Linked DNA regions of Mus musculus. The protein of the gene in region 3 interacts with the protein of the main gene of each other region in a biochemical or structural test. Links are inferred from orthologs where the notes say so. Each region holds a gene or a part of one and is shown on either strand. Other genes may lie near its edges.

The links. The genes of interacting proteins can lie anywhere in the genome.
Region 1: the proteins of Ptpn11 (region 3) and Pecam1 form a complex in vitro, tested with the Homo sapiens proteins (4 studies listed by BioGRID, with this or other methods). The link is inferred for Mus musculus from reciprocal best matches to the Homo sapiens genes PTPN11 and PECAM1.
Region 2: the proteins of Ptpn11 (region 3) and Sirpa form a complex in vitro, tested with the Homo sapiens proteins (2 studies listed by BioGRID). The link is inferred for Mus musculus from reciprocal best matches to the Homo sapiens genes PTPN11 and SIRPA.

What each region holds. Positions count from the first base shown.
Region 1 is NC_000077.6:106,684,221-106,687,869, reverse strand, and holds part of Pecam1 (platelet endothelial cell adhesion molecule isoform 3 precursor), read left to right. Parts: intron 1-2,621; coding exon 2,622-2,909; intron 2,910-3,534; coding exon 3,535-3,642; intron 3,643-3,649. UniProt on the Homo sapiens protein: Cell adhesion molecule which is required for leukocyte transendothelial migration (TEM) under most inflammatory conditions.
Region 2 is NC_000068.7:129,627,251-129,630,899, reverse strand, and holds part of Sirpa (tyrosine-protein phosphatase non-receptor type substrate 1 isoform 1 precursor), read right to left. Parts: intron 2,955-3,649; coding exon 2,915-2,954; coding exon of another isoform or gene 2,903-2,914; intron 974-2,902; coding exon 716-973; 3' UTR 1-715. UniProt on the Homo sapiens protein: Immunoglobulin-like cell surface receptor for CD47. Acts as docking protein and induces translocation of PTPN6, PTPN11 and other binding partners from the cytosol to the plasma membrane.
Region 3 is NC_000071.6:121,135,791-121,139,439, forward strand, and holds part of Ptpn11 (tyrosine-protein phosphatase non-receptor type 11), read right to left. Parts: intron 1,740-3,649; coding exon 1,627-1,739; intron 1-1,626. UniProt on the Homo sapiens protein: Acts downstream of various receptor and cytoplasmic protein tyrosine kinases to participate in the signal transduction from the cell surface to the nucleus. Positively regulates MAPK signal transduction pathway. Dephosphorylates GAB1, ARHGAP35 and EGFR.

The DNA.
Region 1 (3,649 bases), on a different chromosome or scaffold from region 3:
CCACCCAAGGTCACATAAGACCCAAGTCTCAGAGGACAAGGGAGGGAGGTGGGGCATAATAAGAACTGGTCTGAGGAGGGGCATAATATGGACATGGTTGTTATGCATTCAGGCTGTTGTTGAAGAGTGAAGACTTCAGATCTCCAGATGTTAATTAATAATAAATTCGTCCAGGCGGTGGTGGCGTACTCCTTTAATCCCAACACTCGGGAGGCAGATGCAGGTGGATCTCTGAGTTCGAGGCCAGACTGGTCTATAAAGTAAGTTCCAGGGCGGCCACGACACAGAGAAAACTTGTCTCAAAAAGACCACAGAAGAAGAGGAAGAGGAAACCCGAGTTGAAATTGGGTCAGTGCTAGTGACGAGCATTTACTGAGCCCTTCCCATGTGCCCAGCCCTGGGTGAAGCACTGTGGTAAATTATCCCTAGTAATATTTAAAATAGCACATGAGACTCATAAGTGAACTCACTAAGACTTAGAGCTAAGGCACGATAGGTAGGACTGGGATTTGAACCCAGGCAGTGTGGCTCCTGAGACCAACTCACCACTAGCCTCTTGTACTTCCCGGGGGGAGAGACTGTCAGGTCTAGCAGTGTGCTCAGGCTGTCTGCCCCTGTGTGGGACCACTGCCATCCCAGGCCTGATGCTCAGCTTCCTTCAAGATCATACGCCCTTTGTGCTCAGAGAGGTGACATGTGTCTGTGTGTCACTAGTAGGGAAGGTGGCCTGGAATGGTGACATAGGACCAGAATTTGAATGGTTAGGAATGTTGCTGAGGGAAGGTGGCACAGTGGGGGCACAGTGGATTTGCCTCTCTGAGCTTCCAGGTGGGAAGGAAACCATGAAGTTCCGGGAAGCTGTCTGGACAGGAAACTTCTGTTTAGGTTTCAGTGCTCAGAAATAAAAGCTGAGTGTGGAAGTAAAGTCTCTAAGTGAAGATGGAGGGGCTGGTGAGATGGCCCAGCCTAATGACCTGAGTTCAATACCCTGGACCTTACTTGGTGGAAAGACAGATTCCTGCAAATTGTTCTCGGAGTTCCACTAACACACCCATGCACAGAATAAATAAGTAAAAAAAATAAGTAAAAAACAATGTGTGTGTGTGTGTATATATGTATATATATATATATGTGTATATATATATATAGATAGATAGATAGATAGATAGATACACGTATATACACACACATATATATACACACACATACGTGTGTGTGTGTGTGTGTGTGTGTGTGTGTGTAGAGTGGAGTTGGAAGACTTAGGACCAACTTTTCAGAAAATCCAAACCCATATTTCATTGCCAAAATAAGTAGTGAAGAAGGCAGGCAGATAGCAAGGGAGGAGAATCTGCTTCAGAGGCAGCTCAGATAGTGAAGCCAGGTCAACAGGGACCGGGTGATATTCAGGCTATTGGAGGCCAAGACTGGAAAACCAGGTTAAGAATGGTTAAAACTTCCTCCACTGAATTTTCTCTTTAGGATCATGGTCTTAGGATCAAGGAAATTTTCCAGCATCTTTGAAACTAGAAATAGCAATGCAGTTTCAAAAGCAGATGGGTAGCTACAGATGTTGGTACATACCTGTAATCCCAGGATTTTGGAGGCTAACATCTGGAGTTCATGGCCAGCTCTATGAGACCTGGTCTCAATACAAAACAAACATGGTTATGCATACCTTTAATCCCAGCGCTTAAGAGGTGGAGGCAGACAGATCTCTGTGAGTTCAAGGCCAGCCAGAGTTACGTAGTGAAACCTTGTCTCACAACAGGTGAATGAACAAGGGCAATAGCAAACAAGAATAACAAAACCAGGTGGTTGGAAGGCGAACTTGAGGGAGAGCAAACCAATGAGAGAGGAGGCTTTAAAAGCACACAGGAAGAGGAAAAAAACAGGGGTAATCGCCACACACCCTTTAAAATTCTTATTTATTTATCTGATGTGCACTGGTGTTTTCCATGAATGGTTATCTATGTGAGGGTGTCCGATCCTCTGAAACTGGAGTTGCAGACAGTTGTGAACAGCCATGTGGTTGCTGGGACTTGAACCTTGGTGGGGTTCTCTGGAAGAGCTGCCGGTGCTCCTAACCACTTAGGCATCTCTCCAGTCCATGTGCCACACATCATTGTAAGCAGAAAGGCAGAGATGAACACACACACAAACACACATGTACACCTACACACATACACACATACATGTGCACATGTACTCAAAACTCCAAGACAGAGCACAAGTTAATCTTGTCATTCAGTTGAGTGGCCAGTCTTGCTCAAGGTGCGAAGATGGTGAGTGTCCCTAGCATCTTGTGTTTTATCAGTGAATGGGGACAGGAGGTGTCTGTTGCTGTCCTTCTGGTCTAATCAGTGGAAGTGGAGAGAAGAGGATTGAAATCCTAGGCTGGAAGAGAAGCAGATAAGAAGCAGTGGCCATTCTGTGTTCCCTCTCTGTTCAACTCCCTTCTTCTCCCTCTTGGGTTCTTTGTGACTGGATCTCTGTGTCGTATCCTGGCTTGGAACATGAGCTCCTTCTGCATGCATCTCCCAAGTACGGGGATTGCGGCTGTGCACCTCTTACTTGCTTCTCTCCCCTCTCTGCTCGGGGCTAATCCTTGGCCTGCTTTCCAGCCCCAGTGGATGAAGTTGTGATTTCCATCCTGTCGAGTAACGAGGTACAGTCTGGAAGTGAAATGGTACTTCGGTGCTCTGTGAAAGAGGGGACGAGCCCAATCACGTTTCAGTTTTACAAAGAAAAGGAGGACAGACCCTTCCACCAAGCGGTCGTGAATGACACCCAAGCGTTTTGGCACAACAAACAAGCTAGCAAGAAGCAGGAAGGACAGTACTACTGTACAGCCTCCAACAGAGCCAGCAGTATGAGGACCAGTCCCCGAAGCAGCACTCTTGCAGTCAGAGGTGAGTCCACACCCCCACCAGAGCATCAGTGTGGGGGGCTTCCGAGGGTCAGAAAGCACGAATTCCTTGTAAAAGGGAGAGGAGTGGAGACTAGCTCATTTGGGAGAGCTAAGAGACCGGTGTCTGATTAGTTACAATTAGCAGAAACCCACTCATAGTAGCTTGAGCAGAAAAAGAGATGATTCTATTTATATATAATCTGAAAATGTTTTATCCAGTCCCAATTCTAAGTATCCGATAGAGAGATACCAGTTGACAGTTGACGCATACTGTGGGTTAAATGTCTATCCATGAACGACCTGTATCCAACATAGATGTGTTGATAGGATTCTAGCTGTGTGCTTGAATGAGAGAGTCCTGTAGAGATGGAGGGCCACCCCAAATGGAACAACACCTCTACAAAATTAGCTTGGTACCTCCTTGAAGACTGTAGTTGACCTTGGTTTCTAGCAGAAGCCACCATTTCCACCCAGGCTGAGTACAGAAGCCCTCATGGGCAGACACCAAAGCAAAATGCCATTTTTAAGGATCGCAAAATGGGGTCTGAGTTGCTGCTTAAATCTGCTGCCATTTCTTGCTGGTGGGAGGAAAACATGTGTTTCCTTTCTTTCTACCCGACTTCCAGTCTTCCTTGCCCCATGGAAGAAAGGGCTCATTGCGGTGGTTGTCATTGGAGTGGTCATCGCCACCTTAATAGTTGCAGCCAAATGCTACTTCCTGAGGAAAGCCAAGGGTGAGTG
Region 2 (3,649 bases), on a different chromosome or scaffold from region 3:
AACTAAACAGCATAAATCAAATTTTCTAACACCTTAGCTTTAAGACTGCACAGTTCACATTTCTCAATAATTTACAGGCGTCCACAGAGCGATGCTGCTGAGTTAGTGCTAGCTGGAGGAAGCAAGCTGGGACTGGAAGGGAGGTGGGGCCACACTGAACATGCCCAGGGAGTCTCTGCTGGTCTAGGAGGAGAGGGTTCCTTCTCCCCAGGGCTAGTCAGCCTGGGAGGTGGGGAGGCCAGCACTGTTGGCTGAAAACTTGCTGACTTCTGGTGTAGTTCTTCCACAGATGGGGCGGTTTGATCTAAAGGGAGTCTGGTCCCAAAGCTCAAGTTGGGTAGAGATGGTGAGCTCTTCTCCACACAGAAGACCAAGCTCTGGAACATCAAGGACGCAACCTGGGGTTGCCAAGACCAGGATCCAGACCCACGAGTGATGGGCCGAGGCACAACACTTCTTGGATTCCAGGCAGCTTTCTCCAGTTCGCCCTCTGGTTCTGCAACACCCAGCCTCCGGAAGAAGGGGACGTGGGTGCCCAAGAGGTGTTGAAGAGCCACGGAGGGAAGACAAAGGCCACCCTTACCCCTGGTCCTAGGACCCGTGCCACCTGGCCTTCTGGGGACAGGATTGGCTGGCTGGATGTCCTCGTCATGGCCACTCCATGTAGGACAAGAAAACTTGTGGGGATGGGGCCTAGTACAGACCACAGCCCCATTCACTTCCTCTGGACCTGGACACTAGCATACTCTGAGAAAGATGGCTCAGGCTTGGGGGCTGGCTGTGCCCGGCTGAGGTGGACCATGTCCAGGTCAGCATAGGTGAGGGTATCCTCTGGCCTAGGCACTTTGCCTGTCTCAATGCTTGCATATTCTGTGTGGTTGTTAGGCTCAGGGGCCCGGGGTGCGGGCTTCTTCTCTTTGGGCAGATTCAGGTCTGCGTATGTGATGTCGTTGATGTCATTTGTGTCCTGGATCTAAAAGACACAGAGAGAAAGTCATTCTGGAGCCCCAGCCTATTGACCCACCAACTGGCAACAAAATCGGCCCACTTCTTTCCCAGTGGGCTCAGCCTTCACTCTGCCAATGGTATCCCATTTCCAGCCTTTCTTCTTCCAATCCACCTTCCTCCTCACAGAGCCCAAAGGGTCTTCTGAAACACTCGGGTGGTTATCACATGTCCCTTTCCAGTCCCAGCTTGCTTCCTCCAGGTTCATGTCACCTCCTTCTTTCTGGGTGGAACCACCTGAAGCTATCCCCTCCCCCTTCCCATATCTTTTCCTTGTCCTGGATCACCCACTCTCACCTCTCCCACATAAGAGACCCCAGTGAACCATGTACAATTCTGCTCTAGCACTGCTCTACCCTAAGATACTTCTTGGTCCTCAATACCTCTGGCTGGACCCAGAGCTCCTCTGAGCAATTCAGTTCACATCTCCCTAGCATAGCATCTACCACCAAAGACTATGTTTGTTTTGCAACCTTAGCAAATGTGATCTCCCACAAGATAGGGAACACCTCTTCGTTTACATGTTTATTTCACAACATTTCTTTTTTCGTTAACTGGGCATTTGTTATACTGCAGACAACAAGGCTAGCACAGAGGCCCAGTCCATGGTGACAGGATGGATGGATGGATGGAAAGACAGACAGATGGGAGGATGGTTGGGTAGATGGCTAGACGGAGAGATGGATGCAATCACATAGTCAGAAGTCATTACACAAAGGCTTGATGACAACGCTACTCAGGAAGAGTGACTGACCCTATTTTACAGGTAAAAATGGTGACCTAGGGAGCAGATATAAATTCAGTGATTTGGTCTAAGTTCACTCAGCTGAGGAAAAGAAATGAAGCCTGTTGGAGCCTAACATGGTGAACTTCCCACACTGTGGTACCTCTACCCTGAGGCCTGCTGTCGGGGAAATCATGGAGACTGAACTGGTCTCCCTCCCTGGCAAGATACTAAGGCTGATATTGGGGGCCAGGGCCTGACATGTATTTGCACACTCAGTAAGTCTTGGAATGTGAATTTCTACAGGCTTCACTAACCAAGTCTTTTACCCAGAAGATTCCAGAAGGAAGCACAGAAACAAAATAACAGGGGGCAAGAACTCTGGTTGCCATGACTAGAAATGGTCTCATATTTGCTAATTACTGCTTAGCTCATGCCTAAGGCTGGTACGGGCTGGCACAACAAGATGTCTGGCTTACAAATCCCACACCTCTCCAAGCCTGGCCCCGTCAGCAGGTTATGTCTAAAGTGGTGTCAACTGCTTTGGAAATAGCAGGAAAGCTGAGGCTTTCGTTCCAGGTTCAGGACTGGGTTTGTCTTGTTTTACAAGGCTCTGAGGAACCCTGTGTCCCCAGAGGTGACACTGTTGGACAGAGACAACAGGGCTCAGGGATCTGGGAAATAAACGAATTAATACTGCCTATGAAATCTCCTCAACGATGAACAGGGAGAAGCTACCAGGTCCAGGACATCTTGTCATCCATCCAGGTCACTGGTGACACAGGGTTTTTCCTCCTCCTCCTCCTCCACAAAGGTGAGAGAGGCCATGACAGGCAGGGAAGAGTAAGGTGAGCTGACGATGGCTCCCAGTGGTAGAACTGGCTAGAGCAGGGGCCCAGAAGCAGGAATGTGCAGCAACAAAGGAAGCTGGAATCTGACTCTGGGTATCGTTTACGTGGGACACTGGTACCCCATGTTATGCAATGATTCACAACGAACCCAGGAGCCCCAGACTCTCCAGCTGGAGCTGGAGAAGGATGCAGAGGACTCATGGGTGACTCAGTAATGCACAGCTCCTCCTCCCTAGCCCAGAGACTTAATTTAGAACTGGATCCGCAACTCCGGTTGAAGCAAGGAAATCACACCCCGAGTTTCCCAGGAAGGGCAGCTCACCAAAGACTGTACCTGGGTTATTTCCCTGGCGTTCTTCTCGGGCTCGTGCAACCTGAAATGGAAAGAGACTCAGATAAAAATATCTATCTGAAGAGCTTATGCAAATCAACCAGAACCACATTCGGGACCTGCTTCCTACGTGAGCGGAGGAGGGACCGTAAGCGCTTATCAAACGTCTGGACACAGGAGCCAGGCTCACTGAGGGAATTCTAAACAAAGCACACGGGCTTTTTGAAAAGCTTCTGTTGGAAGGATCTCTAGAAATGATAGTGCTGGAAAGGCCCACGGTAGGGAGGGTGGGATGAAGAGGACTTCCACCCGCTGCCGTGGGGACAAACCAGGCCAACCCTTCCTGGAGGTGGTGGACAAATCACGAACAAGGATAATGCTCCATCTTTTGAATCATAACTGCACCTTTTGGGGGGATTGAATATACAGAGGCCTGCGCCCTGGACAAGATACAGAAATAAGTTTATGTCCTGGGGCATAAACTGTCCGATGGGCAGTGGGTTTTTTTTTTTGTTGTTTTGTTTTGTTTTTGATTTTTTTTGAAATTAGCATAAACTAAACTCTTCTGTGTTCAAAAAGTAGATGAGAAGTTTCCATTTTATTTTTGTGGTGCTGGGGACAGGGTTCAGTGCCTTGTTCATGCTAATAGAGTGGCATGTCTGAGTCACTGAGTAAGGCACTCTCAATGAAAATGTGCGGGAACTGGAAAGAAAATGCGAGCAACGGTGATCTGCAGAG
Region 3 (3,649 bases):
TAAAGGGGCTACGGTGTGAGACATGTAAGCCTGAGCCCTTGCAGACATCAAGCATTGAGGTGACAGGAGGAACAGAGTGAGGTCACAGCAGACCTCAATCCTATCCTGGCCAAACAGCCCTGGAAACTGTCAGTTAAGTTGCAGGGACCTGGGTCTCCCAGAATGTGAATGTGGTTTCTACTGGAGTCCTGCTGCTCCCAGGAGCCTTCAGTGGCAGGCTATAGAGCGCCAGCTCAGAGAACTGGGGTGTTTCACCCCAACATGGCCTAAGACACTTTGACGTCACGAGTTGTAAGCAGGCTGTCTAACAGACACAGAGAATGATGTAGACAGGCATGGCCACACCGCTGGTTACATACTCTACCACCTGAGCCCTCCAAGCCGCTGCTGCACAGGGTTGTTGTCGGTGACAACAGTGAGCACCAGGGATTATTTTCCATTTTTTGTCCTAAGTTCAGTCCTACTTGGAGTCTGACTAATAGGGCCTGGGCCCTTTCTGCTTCTAAGTGGGTCTCTAGTTGAACTCACATGCTGGAAATGTCACACTTTTCTGTCACAGATGTACAAACCGTTAAGATGGCATCATACTGAATGCCTCTGGAACACAATCTTTCCTGAGATCTGAGCACTTCCATAAGAGGCAATCTCCAAGTTCAAGGTCAGAAATTTTAGTGTGTTCAGAAGGCTCTGGCTGCAGTTTGGGGCAAGCTGTCCTGTGGAGCTGAACCAATGTGCTTGAACCACCACTATATAACAGCCGTTCCTTAAAAACTGTCCTCACCACCACTGGACACCCCCTGCTGGTACTGCTTGGTGGCTCTGCTTGGTGGAAAGAACTTTGAAGCCGGGCGTTGGGGGCACATACCTTTAATCCCAGCACTTGGGAGGCAGAGGCAGGTGGATTTCTGGGTTCGAGGCCAGCCTGGTCTACAAAGTGAGTTCCAGGACAGCCAGGGCTATACAGAGAAACCCTGTCTCGAACCCCCCCCCAAAAAAAAAAAAAAGAACTTTGAGCTTTCCCTTCGTGTTTGCTGGCCACCAAGGAAAATGAGCCTCTCCTGCATGTCCGTAAGCCACCTGCAGCTTCTTTTACAGCACACCCATTCGTAATTGCTCGCCATTTCCTACTGGGATAGCTGTCCCCATGCAACTGTTGGCTTGTCAGGTTTTTGGGGTTGTTTGTTTGTTTGTCTTAAATAAGAACTCCTTTAAAAAGCAAAGCTAGCCTATGGGCTCTGGCTTTCTGACCCTTGGTTTAAAAACCCTGACTGACAGGAAGATTGGCAGATCATAGTCATGTCCACACATGAACAGAGAGTTTATTTATTCTTAAGAGTCTCCACACTGTAAGGGACAGCGCTTCCCACTGAAATAATGCTCCCTGCAAAAGGAAAATTAGATTTTCCCCAGAGAACCCTACCTAACATGCCCAGGGCCCCACAGGATCCTGGAGAGCCCATCACGTGCCTACTGGTTAGGGGCCCTGCAACCATGAGCCCTAGAGAGTCCCTGGACCCCACCGCCCCATGCACCATCAGTGGGCAGCAAGCAAGCCTGAGGAGAATACTGCAAGCAACTGCTGTTAAGCTTCTACCAGACCTACGCTGCCGCCGTATCGCTACTTACTCTGCACAGGGTGGCGTTGGGGTGCAGGGTGGCAGGGGACTCTGATCACCACTTGTCTGGTCCACCAAGGAATACTTAATATTGGTATATTCATGTCCTTTTCTTTTGCTTTTCTGAAAGTTAAGGAAAAAAAAATACAAGTAAGGAGGACTGTGGATATGATTTTTAGAAAAATACAGAAACAAAAAAGCTATTTTATCAAAAGAAAAAAAAAGAGGCAGATGGACAGGCTAGACTCTTTTTTTTTTTTTTAAGATTTACTTATTTTTATTTATATGAGCACACTGTAGCTATCTTCAGACACACCAGAAGAAGGCATCAGATCCCATTACAGATGGTCGTGAGCCACCATGTGGTTGCTGGGAATTGAACTCAGGACCTCTGGAAGAGCAGTCAGTGCTCTTAACTGCTAAGCCATCTCTCCAGCCCACAGGCCAGACTCTTAAGAACACTAACATGCTGACTAAATGGTTAGGAGCTCACGGCACCTGCAGGAGGAGTGTGCTGCAACCACAACCCTCAGAGCCCCCAGAGCTGCAAGGAACTGCTGACTGACACAGGCTAGAGGCACTACTCCTGCTTCAGCACAGAGCTCTATCACTGTGTGCAAGGATGGAAGGCACAGTAATGCACTTTATGTATTTAGCAGTATTGGCGATGGCACCCAGAGCCCTCCCACAATGTTGAGATGTGCTCAGCCATCTCAACCACAGCACCCTAAGATGAAATGGTAGGGGAAGGAAACCAACAGAGCAAACAACAGGAATGTAATCTCATCTCACCATGTATAAAGGCTCACACATGCCATGTGTGTAGAGAGCAGACAGCCCTGCAGAGTCGGCTCTCCATGCAGTGAATATCCATAACAATGCACCTGTACTGCACATGTGCAGACTTCCCTATGTTCAAGGCCTTCCTGGGCTACATGAAGACCACAGGAGGAATGAGTAGTTCTTATTCAAGGAACATGAGAATCTACAGGCTTCATGTCTAAGACCAAGTGCCCTGGGATGCTTAGGCATGGGTACACTATGTGAAGAGTCAATGGCCACTGCACACTATCCATGGATGTGCTCCCAGAGCACAGACAACAAATCCAATCAAAGTGAGGCTCCTGCGTGGCCACCCTCTTCACTCTGGACACCTTCCATTCTGGGAGACTGAGCAGCAAGGAGAGGGAGCTGTGCACATCCCCATCCCAGAACTGGGGAGGAGGGGGCAGGAAGAACAGGATTCTAACCTGCAGTGGTTATTCCTGGTTGTCAACTTGACCATATGAAATGAATGAACTCCAATCCAGAATTGGAAGGCTCACCAAGCATCCCGACTTCTACAAACTGTGATTAGGGCAGGGGCTGTTGGGGACTGTGGCAGGAGGGAGACACTGACCACAGTACATATCTTCAGACATAACATCTTCCACGGGCTCTGGAAGCCTCATGCCCAGCACTGGACTGGACAAGGTAGAGCAAACTTGAACTCTGCTGAGAGTAGACTCCACCACCTCAGCATGCACTGTGGGGTGCTGGGCACACTAACCAACTAACCATGACAATCATCCCATAGCATTTCCACACACAAAATACACTGTACACTCTCAATACATAGACACAGTATTTTTGTTTTGAGGCAGAGTCTCATTATATAGCCCTGACTGGCCTGGAACTCACAGAAATCCCCCTGCCTCTGTGTCTCTGCACTATAGGAATTAAAGGCATGTGCCACCATGCCCAGCTAGCCTTGATTCTGTAAGTTCCCAGTGAAGAAACCTCACCATCATCTTCTCAAGAGGCAGAGCTGACCTGACTGTCCTGAATCAACTTAGCCCTAAGGTACTGGAGTGGTGCAGAAGGGCCTGGCACAGCACAGCCTGAGTCTCAGCTGCAGGGTGCAACTGACAGCTCCTGGAATGTCCCAAGTATGGAGCAAGAGCAATAGTATGACATAGAAACTATTCCAGATGAAAGACAGGAAACAAACATGAATGCTATACACACCATGTGACCCTGACCACAGCAAGACA